Stegostoma tigrinum: one gene and its partners. The protein of the gene in region 3 interacts with the protein of the main gene of each other region in a biochemical or structural test. Links are inferred from orthologs where the notes say so. Each region holds a gene or a part of one and is shown on either strand. Other genes may lie near its edges. The genes, in order: sgip1a, tfap2a and eps15.

Region 1 (7,462 bases), about 13 Mb from region 3:
CTACCATGAATTGCACAGTTTCCTTTAACATGGTAAATAAAACCTATCCAGTTATAACAAACAATTACTGTCCATGTATCCTTATTGTCAGTTTTCTTCTAGTTTGGACGATGTGATATTTCTCACAGTCCTTGTGTGGTATTTCCTTTACTACATTAATTTTACTGGTTGTTGGTATGGGATCCTTTATGCTCATCCGTAGCTGTTGCAGCGCAGTTGTTGGGTTGTGGGCTACCCTGATACCTAGGGGTCTGAGTAGACTTGTGGTCATCTCTGATATGTCTCTGATGTATGGTAGAGTGACCGGTGTGTCTGGCTGTGTCATGTCTTCTTGTTGCGGTCTGCCACGGAGGTAATGACAGACTGTTTTTTGGGCATCCATTCCTTTTCAAAACATTGTACAAGTGCCCCTGGATTGCTGCAATGTTTTGTGGCCCATTTGAATAATGTCAAGGTGCAGCTCCATTTATGGGCATTCAGGTGGTTGTTGGAGTAATTAAGTATTTTGTCTACATGTGTAGTCTTTCTATATACGCTAGTCTGGAGTTCCACGTTGTTCTTACATTCCACCATAATGTCTAGGAAGGATAGTCAGTTATTGTTCTCTTCTTCTTTTGTGAATTTTATTCCAGGAGGACGTTGTTTAAAGCTTTGGTAGTTTTCTTCTAGTCTTGCGCATTCGATAATCACGAAGGTGTCATTGACACAGCGGACCCAGAGTTTGTTTTGTATAATGCGGAGCGCTGTTCTTTCTAACCGCTTCTGCAATTAGTCCTGTTATGGGGGACCCCGTTGACTTGCTTGAATATACAGTCATGGAAGGCGAAGAGGCACAGATCCAGCAGTTTTAAGATGCTGTCCTTGTTGATGCTGTTGGTGTCATGGAGTGCCTTTCTGATTCAGCTACCAGTGTGGGAATTGTCCTTTTGGCTAGATCGATCTTTTAGGTTGAATGTAACGGATCCCATAACCATAGACGATAAAAATAACATAATATACAAAATATCATGCAAGGACTGTGAGAAACATTACATAGGCCAAGCTGGAAGAAAATTGACAATAAGGATACGTGGACACCAACTAGCCACCAAGAGACACGGCCGATTCTCACTGATCTCAATACACATGGACAAAGAAAGACACAAATTTGACTGGGACACACGTCCATAGCACAATCAAACAGAGACATGCCAGAGAATTCCTGGAGGACTGGTATTCCGACTGGAACTCCATCAATAAATACATTGAATTGGACTCGATATAAAAACCACTGAAAAACAAAACCGGAAGTATTGCCAACCTCCTCCCCAGCAAACGAAGGTGTATAAATAGCAAGTGGGATTGGACACCAATGCTTCACTGGAGGTGCACTGATGATGTTACCTAGCAGGACAACAAAATATCTGCAACCAAAGACATTGTCTTAGCGAGCAATTCTACAACCTCATCCACAACCCGTATTAGAAATCTTCTCAAAAACTTTAAAATTCATAAATCCATTAACTTTAAAGGTCATTGGAATCTTCAATAGCATCAAAAAGAACTGTAAAGCTATCAAGGTATTTAAAACTTCTGTCCTTTAAGTATTGGGAATTTGGGAACATGAGATCGCAAGTATAGGGTATGCAGAGTGTTCTGAGAGATGGGAGTAGGGGGAGGTGAAGACTAGAGGACAGTTCTGTGCTTTACTATTGTTCTTAAATTCCTCCACGATGGTAGAGCATCAACACAGGTCTTCCATCCAGCCTGCCTTGGCACCTGGTACCTGCCCATCCTAACTCCCAGAGTGCCCAGCCACTCCAGAAAGAAAATTCCAACTTCTGGGACACTTCCTCCTTAATGGGTTTTGAAACCAGGAAATATCACAACTGTTAAAATTCACACCTTTAATTTGCATCTTTGCTCTACTATTAAATCAGTGTCAATGAACCTAGGACGTACACGCTAAGTCTTGGGGCAGACGCTGCCAAGGCGCGGTGGTGAAAGACCACTGTATGAGACCCCTCAGCCGGAATGTAACATGGGCCCTATTTGGTAACTGGGCTCAGCTGGCACCTTCCCCAACTGGTCAGGGGGCCAACAGGGACTGTGCGGGTAGACAACCGCCGGGGTTTTTTCTTTGTTTTTGTTTTTTTCTTTTAGTTGGTGTACATACCCCTAGGGTAACCCGGAGTGGCTAGCATGACCGAGTAGGTATGTAAATATGTTTATTTTTTGTATATGCTACGAATATAGTATTTTTTTTGAATAAAAAAATGTCAATGAACCTAGGACAGACTTCAGAAGCATTTCAATATGGATGCAAGCTGTTTAAAATTTTGCAATGAAATATTTCAAAACACTTCATTAATACAGTTCTGTAAAAGATTGTACATTGATTTTAATGCAATCGTTCTAGTTCACACTTGTACTTTGAATCATAGAGTCATAAAATTATTCAGTATGGAAACAGGCCCTTCGATCCAACTCATCCCTGCTGACCAAGTTACCCAAACTAAACTAGTCCCACTTGCCTGTGTTTTGCCTCAATCCCTCTAAACCTTGCCTATTCATTTACCTATCCCAATGTCTTTTAAATGTTGTAACTCTACCTGCACTTACCACTTCCTCCGGCAGTTCGTTTCACGTACAAACCTCCCTCTGTGTGAAAATGTTGCCCCTCAGGTCCCCTTTAAATCTTTATCCTCTCACCTTAAAAATATGCCCTCTACTTTAGAACTCTCCCACCCTGAGGAAAAGACCTTTGCTATTCACCTTATCTATGCCCTCGTGATTTTATAAACCTCTATAAGGTCACCCCTCAGTCACCTACACTCCAGGGTAAAATGCCCCAGCCTATCAAGCCTCTCAGTTTTAACAAATGTCATTTGCCCATCAATCAGTAAAGTGCAGAGTTTCTCGGGACAGATTTGACTGTTCTCTGTTATCCAGTTTCTCCAGTGAGTTAAAAACGTATTAAAGTTTTATTGTTTCCTACCCTGTGATGTTTTCAAGCAAGTCTCCATGGTGCAGCTGGCACTCTCATCAGCAGCTGGCACGAGTATCAATATCTCTAGCAATTTGGGTCTTTTGAAATATATTATGACGACTGCCTCCTGGTGTAGGAAAACGTGACATTTAGTGAGAACAGGGACTGCTGCTGCACAGAGCAGAACAAATAATCTTAGGGGCTCACGAGCAACATTGATAAAAAAAGTTCTAAAATAATTTTACAGGGAATTTTGTGTTTGTTGGATGGGTATAATAGCTGTCTGTGCAATTGCACCCACTGTCAACAATCTTTTCAAAGGTGAATTTTGACATCTGCTGTTCTTCTGCTTGTTGCCCTGGACAACCCACTGAATGCATTCGTACCAGCTCTCTCCCGCAGATGGGCTTCTGAATTTCTCCACTTGCCAAATAACATGATAATACTCAGGTCATGCAAATAAACCTGACTGTCTTTATGTGGGCGTCCTCCTTCAGGTGCCAGTCAGGCAGACGTTCTGGGCATTCTGCAAGCCTACTACACACCACATAGTGAAACCTGTTGTATGCATGGCAGTCGGTCAGGTTTATTGGTCTTTTGGTGCGTGCCATTAACTCATTCATGCGAAGGGCATGAGTAAAGGTATCTGGAGGGGACCTAATGTTAAGGCACCTCACGTTTTGTGAGTTTATCCATCATCTTATAGTTGAGATCAACGGCTCCTATTTTGCAATTTATTTATTTTCTTTGATTCTTTTCAATGTCGTATGCTGAAACCTTGGCCTTGGCCTTTTAACCTGGCTTTCTCAAACTAATCAGAAACTTATGACTGAAACTTTACATGGACTTGATTTGAAGTAATTTTCGAACAAGCTCGGTCTCTTTTCATTGGAGAAAAGGAGGAGGAGAGGGGACCTAATTGAGGTATACAAGATAATGAGAGGCATAGATAGAGTTGATAGCCAGAGACTATTTCCCAGGGCAGAAATGGCTAACACAAGGGGTCATAGTTTTAAGCTGGTTGGAGGAAAGTATAGAGGGGATGTCAGAGGCGGGTTCTTTACACAGAGAGTTGAGAGAGCATGGAATGCGTTGCCAGCAGCAGTTGTGGAAGCAAGGTCATTGGGGTCATTTAAGAGAGTGCTGGACAAGCATATGGTCACAGAAATTTGAGGGTGCATACATGAGGATCAATGGTCGGCACAACATTGTGGGCTGAAGGGCCTGTTCTGTGCTGTACTGTTCTATGTTCTATGTTCTATTAGCGGCAAGTAAATTGTTATAACAATTCCAAGGTGCTATGTTGTAAGATAGAAATATTATTTTAATGCGAGAATTGTTCAAATTAAGAGACTTCTCCAGGATCAGGCATGATATTTCTTGCAAGAGGGAAAGGATGCAGGCCATTTCAAAGGACAGCCAATGCTAATCTACCGGTGCTGGGTGAATGGGGCCTGAGAAGATTCCACAGGAGCCTAAATGTAACCAGCCAAGAACATTCAGCAAGCAAATGCAAGAGTGAGAATCAGGGCATTGTACAGCCTCAGGAAATCAGAGGCCCAGTTGTTTCATTTGGGATGTCTGGAAAGGAGCCCTCCCTCTCCAGATTGCAGTGACTTTTTAACATGCTCTTTCTGGCACCTTCAGCTGGAGGGAAGGCATCCACTCAAGAAGGAGGTGAAAGTCCATTAACCTAAATGGACTGCATGCTGGAACATTGGTTTGCATTCATTGTCTCATCCAATGCTAAAACCTGAGATTAGTGCAAATTGATCAACTAAGGGTCATGTGCATTTTAAAATCCCCGTTCTGCAGTACATTTTTAATAAATTAAAAGTTTCAGTTATTTGTACTGATCAAGGGAGAAGATGCCAGTGTTGTATACTAGGATAACAGTTCCCACACCCAATGCCAATATTAAGCACTTTTAGGTCAAATGCAACACATTATCCTGCAGAATTGTAAATCATTTGACTGCTACCTGCAATCAGATGTCTGAAACACTTTTGTATGAAATAAACAAGAGAAACCACTGTGTTCAAAGGCAGCAGGAATTACTGTGTCAGGTAAAAAGGGGGGAGATATGTCTTGGAAGGGGAGAAAGACTTAGCTGTGTAATACACCATTCACTATCACATAATTCCCCAAAGCATTTTACTGCCAAAGAAGGACTTTTTATATAACATTCCCTGCTGAAATGCAAGAAGCATGGCAGCCAATTTGTTAGCAGCAAGAATACACTAACAATAATCTATTTATGACAAGGCTATAATCTGTGTTTTGGCGTTAGTTCAGGGACTATGTTTGCAAACACACCAGTGACAAAATAAATATTGTTGCTACCTATCACCAACACTTATGAATGTGGATTGGTTTGGTGCTATGTAGCTGATTGAGCGCAGTGGGTGGTGAATGTGGGCTAAATTTTACCAAAAATCAACTAAGCGTGAACTTTGGGGCATGTCACTGAAGCTTTCTATTGAGTTACCTTACACCGCTCACCTCATCGCGTGCACCATAATTTGGTGGCTCCACTCTTGCCCTGTCTTCCGTTCACCAGTGACAGAAGAACTTGATACTGCTGGGGTTTGCGCTTCCTGGGAACATGTTTAAAGTCCAGCTGTGTACCAGGACAATTACTACCAGCCAGAAACTTCACATATCACACAATGGGAGAAGAAGAAAACACAAAAGCATCTGAGGGCATTTAAGTGGCCCCTGGGACGCTGCATTGCAAACAGCTTCTCACATCAGTAATTATATTGCTATCTTACAACATCACCTGTCTGACTGGTATTGTATCTGCAGTTACAAGAATATCAACTCCAGAGGCTACCCATCCTGAGCACCATACCAGTTTAGACCCCTGTCTAAGGGAGCCCTGCACTTTCCCCAACAGTCAGCGTAACATGTCATTGTTCAGTGTGGAAGCATCACATGCTGGAATGCTTCCAAACAGAGGAAAATGTTAACTTTCATTGAACAACTGGAAAAGCATGGAAGAGACAAATGAAGAGAGAAACATTTACTTCTGGGAATAAACTGAGGCTGCTTGCCTTTTGAATAACAGATTTTCAGCCAATTACTGAACGTTGACCTCACCCAGCTCACATTTATTGGAACCTGATATTAATTTAATCCTAAATTAATACAAAGAAATTGCTAGAGAAGGTTGCTGGACCTGGAGCACTAACTCTGTTTCTCTTTCCACAGAGGCTGCCCGACCTGCTGAGTTTCTATTAATCTTTCAATTAAATCCTATCTGGATTGGCAGTCTTGACTTAATACCCCTCTATTGTGGAGGTGATGTTCCACCCACTCAATGTCCTCATCTTCCTCCTTGGAAAATAGGCAGTGCCCTTCCAGCTCTTCAGCATCCATTAGCTCGCCTCTTTACCTGCTCCAGTTGTGCTAGAATTTTGCAGCATACTGTCCAGGCTGAAAAGCCTGTCCAAAAGCATTGGAACTTCATCTACAGGAGGCCTAGAAATTGCTTTATGATGGCTCCAGTGGAGGGTTGGGCTGTTTTGTATCTACACTCAGCCTAGTTGGGGCGTTACTTAATGGAACTGTCAGCCATGGTTATCCTTATTAGTTATGCAGCCTTTGTAGTAATGCAGCAACAGAAGAGTTCTCAAGGATGTGGGAATCATGGCTGTTTCCAGGGAGCCTGGTTCAGACTTCTGAAATGTGATACTAATGCTTACAGATGCTTGTGTATTGATGGAATGGAAACCTTTCTGTTGATCAAGTCTGCCAACTTATGATGTAGCACTTTCAATACAATGTATATCCAGTCTTTAGCACGTTACATCTGTGGGAAGTTGGCAATGTGGGCAAAGCCGACCAACCAGCCTGTAGCACTGACCACATGATGGGGAAACCAGATGAAATGGTATGGTCTGACACAAATTATATGAATAATGGCTTTGATACATTCATGAGCCAAGGATTGAGAGTTCACAGTAAGATCGTCAGTAAAGTCTTGGAAACAGCCAGTTACATCAAACTTTAATGCAGCTGTCACCTGGATTGCCTGTGGGATAGGATAACCATGTATCACTTCAGGTTGCAGGTCCTGCCATAGCAGATGAGAAGGTTCTGCAGTGATGTCCCAGAGCATCCTCAGTCTGTGGCAGCGCTGCTCCTCAGTCATCTCGAGGATGCCAAACTCTGGGTCACCTTCACATCCTGAGGGGACATTTAGCTGCAACTTCTTCAGGTGGAGGCTGTTTGGCAGCTGCTGGTCCTGGCCTTGCTGATGTATTTGCTCCTTCCTCAGTTTCTCTGCTCCTTCATTGTACTAATGCCACGGTGACAATACCCTCTGTTGTGGCTGGCCCATTGGCCCTGTTTCAAATGAGCCTATCGGGGTAATATCAAAAACAGAACAGATAGCGAGGCTTGGGGGAAGGGCAGGGCATGTGGGAGGAGGAGATTCAGGATCTAAGAGAGAACCAAACGGAGAAGGCGGGTTGTGCTGTCGGGGAAGGA
Region 2 (8,042 bases), on a different chromosome or scaffold from region 3:
GCCTGAAGACCAGGAAGCTCCCCCAAATTCACCGAGGTGTGACTCCTTTTTGTCATGACCAGCCTTTGTTCGTGTTGTTGGTTGTCATGATGAGGTCTGGTAGCCGATGGAGCTTCGTGGTACATGGCTGCTGTAAATCCATCAGTGCTGAGATAGGCGTTTTTTTTGAAGCTGCAAGGTACTGACATTCCTGAGGAGTACGCAGGCGCGGACAGGTGGCACCCAGCACTTTATGACCAGGTGAGATGATCCTGGAGAGGTAAAAGGAGAAATTACTCAACAGCTCACAGATCTTTTGAGGACACCACGGACAACTCCAGGCGATATGTCAATTCTGGGCAAAATGGGGGACTGGCAGGTACGTGAACTTATCTATTAACGGCACTCCTTTGGCATGATTACAGAAGTCCCAGTAGCCATTGAAAGTTGCTGCCTATTCCAGCGGTGCCTATATTTCATTATGTAGACGAACGTCATGGATAAAGTCAGTGAATTGGGACAAATAATTACAATTTGCAAATAAGTCAATGAGTCCAAACTTTCTATCAGTACTTACATTGTGTTTACCTGCATGACGCAACTAATACAAACTCTATAAAGTCTCAGGTTGAAAAAAGTTTAGATATCCAATTTACACTACTACAGGCGAAACCCTTGGTTTAGTTGATTTGTTTGAATGGGCCCTGAAAAGGTTAACTCGATAAATACGCCTCAAACCTTTCTGCCTTTTCCCTTTTGCGATGTGATTTGATTTTCTTGTCAGTTCACTATCGGCGCTGTGCTCCAGATACATAGAAAGCAGCCCACTGTAATCATCACCATGTTACAACTTTTCCTAACTTGGGGTCAATCACAATGAGATTACAAACAAGAAAGATTAGCCTCCAGTTTAACGAGCGATTATGTGACTGTTGTATTAGTCTAACATGTTCGTAGAACAACGCTAATCTTGGGGAAATAACTCGTTTTCTCAGGACAGATTAAATTTCATTTCTTCTTTCATATTTTATTTTTAAACACTTTTTTTCATATTGAAGAGTGGCAGTTTGTCTATCAACTCCCTTTTCATAAACACACAACTTGTTTCAGGTTCATTGGAAATTCTACTAAATAGACAATAACTTTTACAACTGGATTTCGGCAGCAATGGATTTAACTTTATTTGGTGTATTATTAAACATTTGAAGTTTAGAACCAATAGAGTATCAATACAAATATATTTCTGTGAAGCCTATGTGCTATTTGCTCGGTACAAAACTTGTAACCTAATTCCATTGTTCCATGGTTCCTAGATTTTCTCAAAGATTGAAGGTAGTCTGTAACAATGTGAGATAACAAGGTGTAGAGCTGGATGTTGCTTGTGGGCTCCAAATCAAGAGTCATGTTATCTATATAATTTTCCAAACATTTCAGTGTATTTTATAAACTGGAATTATGTACGACACAAATCTAACTTTGCTGCAATAATAATATTTAAAAAGTTAGAACACTTTTGGCGGACCTAAAGCTTTGAAATAAGGGGATATTCTGTCTCAGCTGACACAAAAAGACGTGCATTGAAAAATGAACTTGTTAGATGCTGAATATAAATACAGGTATTTATCATGGTAGGATTTATTGAAATCCATTGTTCAATACAAGAAACATAACGACAGTAACATTCAAACAGAAGTATTTGCTGTACTTTAAAGCCATTCTCTAACTTGTTTATGCTTTCACCCGCGAAACGAAAAAAAGTCAAAATATCTGAAGCACGCGTATAGGCCAGGCGCTAAAATGCTGTAGGATAGCTAGGTCCTAAAAGTCCTCTTCACCTGTGCACCAAGTTAAAATATTTAAATGCACAAATATCACGTACTTACACGTTGATTTAATAATCAATGCAGACTGTAACAGGTGTTTTTCTTTTTGCCCTATTTTGGAAAAAAAGTCAGAATGGGCGAATATTTTGAAAAAGATCAATAAGGAGAAGATAGTATTGTGAGTAATGGCGTTTCACCATCGTTCGCACACTTTAACGGAGAGGACTACATTTATTCTAGTCCACGGTAACAAGACCTTGTAACCAAATAAACAGATGTGAATATTTTCCTCGCCACAAAAGAAATCGCTGGCATTTTAAAACGAGGCGAACCTTGTTATGGTTACATGTGTATAGAATTACATTTAATTAAAAGAAGTGCAAATTGGGAGGGGAGGAGTTGGAATACATTTCACCGGTTTAGGCTGCTCAGAAACTGCTCGACAAAAGCAGAAATAAAAACAGCAAAGCACCGCTCTCCTGTTAAAAAGTGCTTCCATTCGACAGGAGCATATATTTTAATTATTCATTGTATTTTGCTATAGCGATCGATTAGAAGTTAATTTAATGTATGATTCTCAGATAAACTCATTTACTATATTCTTATACTCCACTAGTCTGCCAGCACAGAAGTGAACATTAAATGATTTCTAAATTAACTAGCATCGGTTTATATGAGATTAACAAATTTTCATTTGAAAATGGAGATGTGGAAAATATCTATTCTTTAAAAGAATCGACATTTGTACACAGGTAAAATAGAAAAGCTGCAGGTTCAGTGCTTTAAATCAATGATCTTGCAAACTCGTTATCTCTTTTAATGCACAGCGTTATATTAAGAGGTAACACCCCCTTCAACAGTTCGAATGAAAGTGGGAGATCACAGCTCATGCAAGCAGCTTGTAATGAATAAGTGCTTCACAGTAGAAAGTGAGCAAATTGGGGGGAAGAACATCACTTTTAAATGTAAAAATACTGCCGTACTCTTTGCAAGTGACTTAAGAGAACAGAACGCCATCAAGAAAAAAACATAAATTAGATCCGCGAGCTTTTAGAATAATTGCATAAACACGTTTAAAAATCCAGGTACAGCTGAATATTTTCGCCTCTTAGACCCAAAGCTGACTGTGACTCCAGCGATAGAAATAATTTTGTATTTAAATTTCAAAACGTTTGGCCTTTTGGAGTGAGGTGTTCTGAATCGGTGGATATCTCGGTCCTCTAATTAAAGACAATAGATTCTGATGACATCTTTGTCCTCGAGCTCCACCAAAAATGGTAATGAAGATTACCTGTAGACGACGCCTAGATCTAGTCACCCAGATTACCTGGGTTGAGAGTTACCCTTGCACACTTTCTCACCTTCAATGAAAGACAACGGTGCAACCTTGTCTCGATTCATAAATTCATAGTCAGACATTTATTATGGTAATAACTTTAATGAAGCGGTTGTGAAGAGGTTTGCAATGCGACGTTAGTTCAAAATAGTTTGCTTTTTTAGTCCCTGTTTACGTATGAATTGAATAGCTACATAACAAACGATTTCCACCTCAATGGCTGCAGTGCAACACTCTACACGCTTGTTATTTAAAGCCTCCAGATAGCAAAGAAAGGTAAATGCCGAAAGAAATTCTCGCTCACAAACCTAGAATCTCTCAGCTAGGAAACGAGACACAACCGCTGAAAGAATCTAAATACTGGTAGTAAAGCCACCTAATTATCAATGAAATTCAGCACTACTGAGGTTTACCGCTCTGATAAGCGTAAACGTGTCCGGGAAATAACTTGCTGAGGGAATGTTAAAATTGTCTTTACTTTGAATTTTCCTGAGGAGATGCTTTTTAAAAAAAATCAGCAAAAAGCAAGGAAGTCGGAATCAGTTCGGATTCGATTTAACTACATCCATTGTGAAGCTAATATTTAAGCTAAACTGTTTACTTAGTAAAAGGGCATGTAGATGAAGTTGGGTGCTTGATACGCAGAGGAATATGAAGTTAACTGTTGTATCAAAATATGGGTCATATCTATATATTTATTATTGCTATTTAACATAGTGAAAATGTGAAGCACACTTGCCCTGTTATTATAAAATAAACGACTGAGTTCGGTGTTTCAGCAAGATTATTGCCTTCATTGGAAGGCATAATCAGTTAACAACTAAACAGTGCATGTCTGCAGGGAGAAGAGTTAACCAAAGAAAGAAAGTCACATCGTACTCTTGTGCTTTGGTAGAATGGAAGGTAAGGGAGGGTTTAACAAGTAACAGAACAAGTAGCTCCATGTACATTTATAAGCTGTTGTCCACCGCCAATGTATTTATGTTGACGTCCATTGCCAGGCGGCAGGGCAGGCTCTCTACCTGTATCCATTGGAGCAGTAATGTGGTTGAATGAGTGTTTGGCTGGTGTTCATATGCTAATTGGGCTGTTATTAGCGAGTTACTAAAGAGCTGAGAGGGGAACACGATCGACCATTAGAGGGAGATCTCAGAGCACATACAGAGCGCTAAACCAACACACACTCTCTGTACAGGACTGTCCGCTCTCTGAGACATCCAGTCAACCACTTTTACACCAATCCATGAGAATGCTGTGGAAATTAGCGGACAATATCAAATATGAGGAGTGCGAGGTAAGCAATTTCATATTAGATTCAAAAGAATTAAAATGCAGTTTTCACTGCCCCGTCGAATGAAAAAAAGCTGTACATCACTCTCATTTAAACCGAATATTGCAAAGTTTTATTTTAAACATTAAGTATGCTTTCACAGTTATATATTCTATAGAAAGATGCAGCATGACAAAAACAAATGGAGCACTTGGCCATTCGGCTTAATAATATTGTAAAATAATGCAAACGCCGATTGCAGGGTGCGTACCTCAGCTCTATTGTGTGGCAATAGCTCACGTTTGTAAACAATACAGGAATCGAGAGTTAAGAATCGACGTCCACTAGATTAAGCATCTGAAATGATTAATGTTTGGTAAACCTGGCTGAAATCCTTCGCCTATAAATTCTTAACAGAACCCTCAAAAAGGGCCGCGTTGCTGGCGATGTTTGTGAAAGTAAAACCAAAATTAAAACGCTAAGCTTGCTGCACTTATTGTCACAGAACGCCTTGGGAAAGAGCAAGTTTGATCAAGCAAGGAAAAGCAGTTTGCTTTTGTAGTCAATTCTAATGCCTTAGTCCAAATTGTATATCTGTCTGCATTTGTTGCTTAAACGTTCGTAATCCCCACCCCCAACCACCCACCCTACCCCCCACAAAAAAACGCACATGGAAACATTGAAATCTGCACAAAATTGTGTCTTGGTAAAGATGAAAGATTTTTGTGTGGAAATGGCAGAAGGCGTTAGATGGTTCAGGCTAAAAGCCGTGATTGTGCCCGGATTGAGAAAGTTGCTCTAGAGTTTGCGAGGTAATATTTGGGGAGTTGTTTTGAAGTTGTATAGCCAGTCAAACGGGTTTGTACAGCAGGCTAGAAGGCAGTTCACACCACGGGCTAAACCAAGCGGCCGTTTAGTTTCACTTTATTTTTTTCAAAAACGCGGGGAGGAAATTAATAAAAAAAATATAAGAATCCAAGAAAAGTATGAAGGGTCGGCGCGAGCTTCCAGCGGAGTAGGTTTACGATCAGAAGTGAAATCCGTTTGTTTGGAGCCGCTTTCGAGTTGAGTTTAGACGAGAGTTGTTTTTTTAGGATCGCAGTAGGGGAGCAGCTTGCGTAAAAGTGCGTGAAAACGAATCAGGGCTTTGGAGACTCCATAGTGTCTCTGTCGCTCCCTCTGTCTCTTAACTTTTAACCCATTGCACGATGGATCAGACTACTAGTGACCCAGGATCAGGGCAGCAGTCACCTCCGGATAAAGAGCTGAAAAGGAAGAGAGCTGAGAGCGCAGGTAGTCGCTCTCCAGCCAGGAAGCGAGTGGCCGCCGACATGCCTTTGGCGTTTGCTGGATTCTCACACGATAACGAGGTGCAAATTCCTTCCCGCATCACACTCTTTCTTTCCTTCCCCTCTTTCTCTCTGTCTCTCTCTCTCCCCCCTCTGACTCTCACCATTCCTGCTCCCCTTCTCTCTCCCTCTCACTTTCGCATGCCCTCGATCACTTGAAAATGTTCTCTTCTTCCCTGTGATTCGTCAGAAACAGCAATGTGTGCCCCTCTATTCTCTCTCTCTCTCTCTCTGATTAGATACACTGATTCAACGGACGTCATTTATAACAGACACAGCTTTAAGTTGCTTCCTCGCTTCACGCTCGATTTCCGACCATTCTCCCCTTATTAAGTATTCGTGTAATATTAATAGTCATGAATATCTGCTATTATGTGCTGAGTGAAGCCACGGCTCGCCCTTAGAGGAGGAGAAAGAGAGAGAGAAAAAAAAGTTTGAAAAATCTACCGACGTGACGCCCTGAAACTAGACACAATTCTGATCATTTTTTTTTGTTTGTGTGTGTTGTTCCCAATGAAGAAATTTTTCAAGTTCTGATGGATTCGCTTGCCTTCCTCCTGCATGTGACTCCCCGGCGTTGTGATCGTGTTGTAGCTGTATAGTACTGGACTGTTTTTTCCAATTTTCCACCTCTAGGTCTCTCTATTTTTTCCCCCTGACGAACTCAGATCAGACTGCCCGCAGATGTTAGTGCACAGTTTCTCGGCCATGGTGAGTTTCAGTGAGATGCCACTAGGTTTAAAACGAGCCTCCCCCGCCCCCTCCCAAAAACAAAAACTGGTAGCACTTTGGATTGTGAAAATAAAAAAAATCTAGCATACCTCCTTGGAGGATAATATTTTGTTGAATTCTACCCCGTGCGATAATTTACAATTACTAATATGGCCAGTAAAACTTAAGCTTGCCACCGCCAACGAAAGTGTCATACCAGCGATGTTTCTTTAACAAAAAAGAATAAAATAATGTATTTTTTAAAAATTACAACTTTACATGTCTGATTTCATTGCAGGACCGGCATGACGGCACAAGCAATGGGACTCCACGGTTGCCTCAGTTAGGGACGGTCAGCCAGTCTCCGTACCCGACCGCCCCGCCGCTCTCTCACACTCCCAACACGGACTTCCAGCCGCCCTACTTCCCTCCTCCGTACCAGCCCATCTACCCGCAGTCGCAGGACCCCTATTCCCATGTGAACGACCCTTACTCGCTGAACTCGCTGCACCCGCAGCCCCAGCCGCAGCACCCGACCTGGCCTCAGCGGCAGAACCAGGAAGCGGGAATCCTCCACCAGCCCCGCGGGCTGCCCCAACTCGCCGGCCTGGACCCGCGGAGGGAGTACCGACGGCCCGAGGTCCTCCTCCACAGCACCCACGGACTCGACTCCGGCCTCGGGGATACATTGCCTATCCACAGCATCGCACATGCCATCGAGGATGTACAGGTCGGTTCTTTGAAAACCCTATGCAGTTCTTACTTTACACTGCTGCCTTGGTCTATAGTGAACTGTTTTCAAATTAAGGGGAGATTCTCAACCCATTTACCCACCCACCCCTTCACGACCACCTCTGGTAAAATCTGCTTTCGTGAACCCTGCATCTGCTTCAGATTTTGAAAATAAAATTGACAAGTTTAAATTGACAATCAAGCGAAACAAATCTATTTTTTCCAAATGACCAATACATATTAATGTTATGTATTAACATGCATCAAATGAGAGCAAATTTCTCCTCTGCATTGTTAGAAATATAAATTGCGTCTTCCCTTAATTAAATCCAGCACTTGCTTTTTAACGCTATCAGTTTCTCTCATTCATGTAAACAGTTTGGAGTAATGAAATTGTGTGGTGCGCTTTATTCAATATTTCAACTTGATAAAACAGACTTATTCCAATTTGGACTTTGCCCAGAGCTTCAAAATTGGAATCATTAATTTTAAACATATATATAAAATTCTGCATGTGCCTTAATTCCTGCCCCCAGCCCCCGCCCCCAATCCCAACGAGAAAATAAAAAAATCGTTTATTAGCTGTGGCGAGTTGCTGAAAGCTGGTTACAATGCCAGTGGTCATTGTTGAGTTACTGACCCGAGATTGCAAAATACAAAAGGCATGCGTTTAGTTTGTACTAAATTGTTCGTTTTTCAGCGCCGTGGCGAGCTGTGCTTTTAAATTATAATTTGAACTCGTTCCTTCTGCAACAACCTGGAATAATCATTAATGTGTTATTACTTACCTTGCAAACAAAGGATGCATATTAATGCGGGATGAAAACCATCCGCCCTCTTGG
Region 3 (7,405 bases):
CCACAGTAGGCTATTGTACAAAATGCAGAGGAATGGAAATGTGGGAGATATAGCAGTTTGGATTGGAAATTGGCTTGCTGAAAGAAGACAGAGGGTGGTAGTTGATGGGAAATGTTCATCCTGGAGACCAGTTACTAGTGGTGTACCGCAAGGGTCGGTGTTGGGTCCACTGCTGTTTGTCATTTTTATAAATGACCTGGATGAGGGCATAGAAGGATGGGTTAGTAAATTTGCATATGACACTAAGGTCGGTGGAGTTGTGGATAGTGATGAAGGATGCTGTAGGTTGCAAGAGACATAGATAAGCTGCAGAGCTGGGCTGAGAGGTGGCAAATGGAGTTTAATGCAGACAAGTGTGAGGTGATGCACTTTGGTAGGAGTAACCGGAAGGCAAAGTACAGGGCTAATGGTAAGATTCTTAGTAGTGTAGACGAGCAGAGAGATCTCGGTGTCCATGTACACAGATCCTTTTGCCACCCAGGTTGGCAGGGCTGTTAAGAAGGCATACAGTGTTTTAGCTTTTATTAATAGAGTGATTGAGTTCCAGAACCAAGAGGTTATGCTGCAACTGTACAAAACTCTGGTGCGGCCGCACTTGGAGTATTGTGTACAGTTCTGGTCACCGCATTATAAGAAGGATGTGGAAGTTTTGGAAAGGGTGCAGAGGAGATTTACTAGGATGTTGCCTGGTCTGGAGGGAAGGTCTTACGAGGAAAGGCTGAGGGACTTGAGGCTGTTTTCATTAGAGAGAAGAAGGTTGAGAGGTGACTTAATTGAAACATATAAAATAATCAGAGGGTTAGATAGGGTGGATAGGGAGAGCCTTTTTCCTAGGATGGTGATGGTGCACACGAGGGGGCATAGCTTTAAATTGAGGGGTGAAAGATATAGGACAGATGTCAGAGGTGGTTTCTTTACTCAGAGAGTAGTAAGGGAATGGAACACTTTGCCTGCAACGGTAGTAGATTTGCCAACTTTAGGTACATTTAAGTCGTCATTGGACAAGCATATGGACGTACATGGAATAGTGTAGGTTAGATGGGCTTGAGATCGGTATGACAGGCTGGCACAACATCACGGGCCGAAGGGCCTGTACTGTGCTGTAATGTTCTATGTTCTATAACTCTGGTGAGGACAAATGAGACGAGCAGCAGCATTTCTTTCAATGGTGGAACATGCCAGTTCTAGAAAGGCAAAGATTTGCTACAAGTGCCACAACTAAAGAGAGAAGAGGAAGTCTTCATTTGTTTTTATTTGGCTGCAGAGCCTGAGTGGGATATAAAGACAAGTACTTGCCCAACATCTGCAATTGTCTCCCAACAGTATAGACTAAATTCAAAAGAACATGTACAACTACCTATCGGACTCCACTCCAGTGCTTTTGATTCTCCTGAACCAGAGACACAATGCAGTGGGTACTACTGATGCAGAGCCTATACTTAGTTGATTAACATTAAGGCAAGATTCTATTTTATAACATTTTTTAGGCAATTTGCTCACCTTAAAGCATGTTTTAGAGGGCCTACAAGTGGTTAATGGATACCAGGGCATGTCAACACACTGACAGGCCGGAATGTCACATCTTTGGGGGGGCCAGGGTTCCTTGGAGATAGCCCACAGTTTAGCCAAGGGCTGCAGGTGAATAATTGTCTGGTATCTCCCACAGAACGTGACGAAGGCATATTCAGTCATGGCTTTCAACATGAAACTGAATAATTATCTACAGACCAAAAACGTGCAGGCCCATAGGGAGAAACAAACAAGACATGTGGCTAACTGTGTTGCTCTGGCAGACAGCTGACACATACATGATAGAACAAATGGCCTCCTCATGTACTGTACCCATTCTATGTTGTTACATTTTTCAGGTAATCTACACACCATAACATATGTTTGAGAATGATAAAAGTACGAAGGTGCATGATGCACAACTTGCGTGGAAATAAGGCTGGACAGGAAATGTTAAGTGGAATTCCAGAGTTGAGGGGATGGATTATGAGGAGAAACTGAAACTCTACAAAACAGAGTCTTGTATCTGGCCTTGGTGTTCTTGATGCTGTTTCATGCTCCCCCTATAGCTCCAGGAAGATCAGGGATTATACTCATTGGAATTCACAAGAATGAGGGGAGATATTATAGAAAAGTAGAAGATTATGAAAAGAATAGATATGGAGGAGGCAGGGCGGTTGTTTCATTCAGCAGGTGCAACTCAGACTAGGGGCATAGCCTCAAAATAAAGAGAAGCCGATGTAGGACTGAGGTCAGGAGATACTTCTTCACCCAAAGGATTGCGAATCTGTGGAATTCCCTGCCCAGTGAAGCAGCCTCGTTGAACGTGTTTAAGGCCAAGGCTAGATAAATTTCTGAACACTAAAGGAATTAAGGGTTATGGTGTACGGGCGGGTACGTGGACTTGAGACTCAAAAAGATCAGCCATGATCTGATTGATTGGCGAGCGGACGCTCGAGGGGCTGGGTGGCCTACCCCTGCTCCTCGTTCTTACGTTGTGTTCTTATGTAATGAGAAATACTACAGAAAAGAAACATACTGGTAAATCGACATCAGCTTCAAATGCCAGCATACGCCGTTTCCTTAGTTTTGAGACATTTGTTTACAACTTACATCAGTGTATGTTCCGGGTGCAGTTTAAATGCTACATGGGTCCACCCTCCCAACCGTAATAAAGTGACCGCCCGATCTACCGCATCCAATAGTCTCCTGGCCGCTTGAGTTTACGCAAAAATAAAGGAGGCCCAGCAAATCCTCCAAATCCTAAACAAAATCGCACTTTCACACAAACTACGCCCACAAACTGTTCCCTTTATCCCGGCTCTTGGTGCCTCACAGGCCCCAGTGCAATGGCACCCCAACTGCACAACAATTCATTTCCTCTCAGTCACAAAAGCCGTATTTCTCCAACCAGACCCCACCCCCACTCTTTGTTTCCACTCTCGCTAACATAAATAAATTAAAACGAACAGCCTCGGTGTTTTAAATAATAAGATCTGGTTTTTACCTGAGTGAGTGTAAAATGCCCCGCCATGCTGTTTCCTACACTTTAGCCCATCATGCACTGAACAAAAGTTCGTGAACTTTAACATCACAAACAAAACCTGGCACTGGATTTCGAGGTGGAATAAATTTTCTGTCGAAGTGTATCTCTCTGTGTGAATGTCTGTAAACTCACATCTCTTCGCGTGCCAAAACCAATCTCAAACCCATGCCAGTGACTAAAGAGCAAGTGCGGCCAATTGCTGGCCTGGTGATCATTTATCTCTGAATCTTTCTGACATAGCTCCACAGAGGCCGGCATGCCGTCACCTAGTCACCCTTTATTTACACAAGCCTATTATTTGCAACTAGTCCAATCCACAGAGCCAGTCTCAGAGTGAACAGAACTGATGACATTATTATCACTACATCGCTCCCCTGTAAATTCTGGGACATAGGCCTGTTTTTGCCTTGTAGCCTCTCCGTGCATTTTTGCACTGGGCCTGGTTCCTCCAACACAACCTCCGATACGGGCAACATGTACCAGACCATAGCATGCCTCTTGTGCCCGAAGCATCTTGAAAGAAATTTGTCCTTTTTTTCTAAGCAGTAAAGGTGTTGACGCTGCAACATCGACTTTGTCCATCTCCGACTGAGGTTTCTTCAATGCTGGATGGAGGAGGAAGAACCCACTGGCTTCAACAGCCTTTCTGGTTATCTGAGGGGCCAGCTATGTTTCGCCCCTGCTTCTTTTGTGAGTTTGCATCTTTCATGTGGTCCATATGTTCAGGACCACGTCACCTATCCAAACTTTCTATATCATAGATAATAAAATGTGAGGCTGGATGAACACAGCAGGCCAAGCAGCATCTCAGGAGCACAAAAGCTGACGTTTCGGGCCTAGACCCTTCATCAGAGGCTCTCTGATGAAGGGTCTTGGCCCGAAACGTCAGTTTTTGTGCTCCTGAGATGCTGCTTGGCCTGCTGTGTTCATCCAGCCTCACATTTTATCACCTTGGAATTCTCCAGCATCTGCAGTTCCCATTATCTCTTTCTATATCATAGGACCTGACTTCGTGTGGACCATGTGTCTTACCCATGCAGGGCCATTTCTGTGGTTTCAGTACCAAACTTCATCCCCTGAAGTAAACTGTCTCCCTTGCTTCACAGAGTCTTGTGTCTGGCCTTGTTGTTCTTGATGCCGTTTTATGCTTCCCCCACAGCTCCAGGAAGATCAGATTTAACCTGTTGCAGATGTTTGCTTCCCATTAGCAACTCTGTGGATATTGGCCTATGAGTTCTGTTACTTGGTTCAGAACAAGTGATGCGCTTCTGCTATCTCACATCTACATACTGGCAGCATCGACAATGGCTTGCTGGCCTCAATTTGAAGAGAATGTTAGCTGTTTGGTCGTGGTTTGCTGTGGGCTGACCTATAGTCCCCCAGTTCAGAATATGTCCTGAGTGAGGCTATACAGTTGCCTTCATTCAAGTGGTGTCCTGCAAAATGATTCAGCCTGGGAATAATGTCCACTTCTATTTGCATTTCCTGAAACTCGAAGCTCCACTTGCTGCATTTTCTAATGACAAAGCCAGCTGTAGTTCCTGTTTGAAGTCATTTGGGTTCAGCTAATCGGTGCTTTTGCATGGTTACATCATTAATCCCACGTACCAAACAGCCTCTTAGTATCTCATTAAGGGTTAGACCAATGTTACATGCCTCTGCCTTGTCACAAATCCCAGTGTGGAAGTGCCCAATTCTTGAAATGCCAAAAAAACCCGATTATGTCTTGGAATTAGAGGTAGCTTGGGATGTCAAATATTCCCTAACTAAATCCATCAACTCTTGAAAAATTTGACTATCTGGTGCCTCAGGGAAAGTTAGGGTCCTAATAACTGAAAAAGCTGCAGGTACAATAGCTGTCAGGAGAGTTACTCATGGCTTTTCATCTGCCCCAGTGTCATAGAACATAGACCAATACAGCACAGAACAGGCCCTTCAGCCCTCAATGTTGTGCCGACCTGTGAACTAATCTAAGCCCATCCCCCTACACTATCCCATCATTATTCATCTGCTTATCCAAGGACTGTTAAATGCCCCGCATGTGGCTGTTAACTACATTGGCAGGCAGGGCGTTCCACACCCTTACCACTCTCTGAATAAAGAACCTGCCTGTGGCATCTGTCTTAAATCTATCACCCCTCAATTTGTAGCTATGCCCCCTCATACAAGCTGACGTCATCATCCTCCGAAAAAGACACTCACTGTCCACCCTATCTAATCCTCTGATCATCTTGTATGTCTCTATTAAATCCCCTCTTAGTCTTCTTCTCTCCAATGAGAACAGACCCAGGTCCCTCAGCCTTTCTTCATAAGGCCTTTGCTCTAGACCAGGCAACATCCTGATAAATCTCCTCTGCGCCTTTTCCAATGCTTCCACATCCTTCCTGTAATGGGGCGACCAGAACTGCATGCAACATTCCAAGTGAGGCCGCACTAGCGTTTTGTACAGTTGCAGCATGACATCACCACTCTGGAACTCAATCCCTCGACCAATAAAACCTAACACACTGTAAGCCTTCTTAACAGCACGATCAACCTGAGTGGCAACTTTCAGCGATCTATGTACATGAACACCGAGATCCCTCTGCACGTCCACACAACCAAGAATCTTTCCATTGACCCAGTATTCTGCCTTCCTATTATTCTTCCCAAAGTTAATCACCTCACATTTATCTGCATTGAACTCCATTTGCCACCTTTCAGCCCAATTCTGTAGTTTATCCAAGTCTCCCTGCAACCTGCAATATTCTTCCACGCTGTCCACCCCTCCACCGATTTTAGTGTCATCTGCAAACTTACTAACCCAAGCACCTATGCCTGTGTCCAAGTCATTTATAAAAATCACAAATAGCAGTGATCCCAAAACAGATCCTTGAGGCACACCACTAGTAACCGGATTCCAGGCTGAATATTTTCTATGAACCACCACTTGTTGCCTTCTTGCAGAAAACCAGTTTCTAATCCAAACTGCTAAATCTCCTTCAATCCCATGCCTCCGTATTTTCTCCAATAGCCTACCATGTGGAACCTTATCAGAGGCTTTACTGAAGTCCATGTACACCACGTCAACTGCCCTACCTTCATCCACATGCTTGGTCACCTTCTCAAAAAATTCAGTGAGGTTTGTGAGACACGACCTGCCCTTTACGAATCTATGTTGACTATCTCCAATCAAATTGTTGCTTGCTAGATGATTGTAAATCCTATCTCTTATAATCCTTTCCAAAACTTTTCCTACAACAGACGTAAGGCTCACAGGTCTATAATTACCTGGGTCATCTCTACTGCCCTTCTTGAACAAGGGCACAACATTTGCAATCCTCCAGTCCTCTGGTACTAAATGAGGACTCAAAGATCAAGGCTAAAGGCTCCACCACCCTTGCTTCCCAGAGAATCCTCAGAAAAATCCCATCTGGCCCAGGTCGTTTATCTATCTTCACACTTTCTAGAATTGATAACACCTCCTCCTTACTAACCTTAATCCTTTCAATTCTAGTAGCCTGTAACTCAGTCTTCTCCTCTACAATATTCTCCTTTTCCTGAGTGAAAACAGATGAGAAATATTCATTTATGACATCTCCAATCTCCACAGGGTCCATACACAACTTCCCACTTCTGTCTTTGACTGGCCCTATTCCTACTTTAGTCATCCTCTTATTCCTCACATACCTATAGAAAGCTTTAGGGTTCTCCTTTATTCTACCTGCCAATGTCTGCTCATATCCCCTCCTTGCTCTTCTTAACTCTCTCTTTAAACCCTTCCTAGCTAATCTGTAATTCTCCATAGCCTCATCTGAGCTATCTTGTCTCATCATCACATAAGCCTCCCTCTTCCGCTTAACAAGAGATACAATTTCTTTAGTAAACCACGGTTTCCTTACCTTATCGCTTCCTCCCTGCCTGACAGGGACATACCTATCAAGGACATGCAATATCTGTTCCTTAAACCAGCTCCACATTTCGATTGTCCCCATCCCCTACATTTTGCTACCCCATTCTATGCCTCCTGAGTCTTGCCTAATCGCATTATAATTACCCTTCCCCCTTCTATAACTCTTGCCCTGTGGCATGTTCCTACCCCTTTCCATCGCTAAACTAAACATGACCAAATTATGGTCACTCTCTCCAAAGTGCTCACCTACCACTAAATCAAACACCTGGCCTGGTTCATTACCAAGTACCAGATCCAGTGTGGCCTCCCCTCTTGTTAGCCCTTTGACATACTGTGTCAGGAAACCATCCTGCACATATTGGACAAAAACTGATCCATCTGACGTACTAAAGCTATAGCAATTCCAGTCAATGTTAGGGAAGTTAAAGTCTTCCATAATGACCACCCTGTTCCTTTCA

The links.
Region 1: the proteins of eps15 (region 3) and sgip1a form a complex in vitro, tested with the Homo sapiens proteins (2 studies listed by BioGRID, with this or other methods). The link is inferred for Stegostoma tigrinum from reciprocal best matches to the Homo sapiens genes EPS15 and SGIP1.
Region 2: the proteins of eps15 (region 3) and tfap2a form a complex in vitro, tested with the Homo sapiens proteins (2 studies listed by BioGRID). The link is inferred for Stegostoma tigrinum from reciprocal best matches to the Homo sapiens genes EPS15 and TFAP2A.

What each region holds. Positions count from the first base shown.
Region 1 is NC_081361.1:50,747,669-50,755,130, reverse strand, and holds the start of sgip1a (SH3-containing GRB2-like protein 3-interacting protein 1), read right to left. Parts: upstream 3,021-7,462; 5' UTR 3,006-3,020; coding exon 2,978-3,005; intron 1-2,977.
Region 2 is NC_081358.1:44,307,897-44,315,938, forward strand, and holds the start of tfap2a (transcription factor AP-2-alpha), read left to right. Parts: upstream 1-4,970; 5' UTR 4,971-5,616; coding exon 5,617-5,778; intron 5,779-6,393; coding exon 6,394-6,468; intron 6,469-6,766; coding exon 6,767-7,198; intron 7,199-8,042.
Region 3 is NC_081361.1:63,483,765-63,491,169, forward strand, and holds the start of eps15 (epidermal growth factor receptor substrate 15), read right to left. Parts: upstream 3,104-7,405; 5' UTR 3,044-3,103; coding exon 3,017-3,043; intron 1-3,016. UniProt on the Homo sapiens protein: Involved in cell growth regulation. May be involved in the regulation of mitogenic signals and control of cell proliferation. Involved in the internalization of ligand-inducible receptors of the receptor tyrosine kinase (RTK) type, in particular EGFR.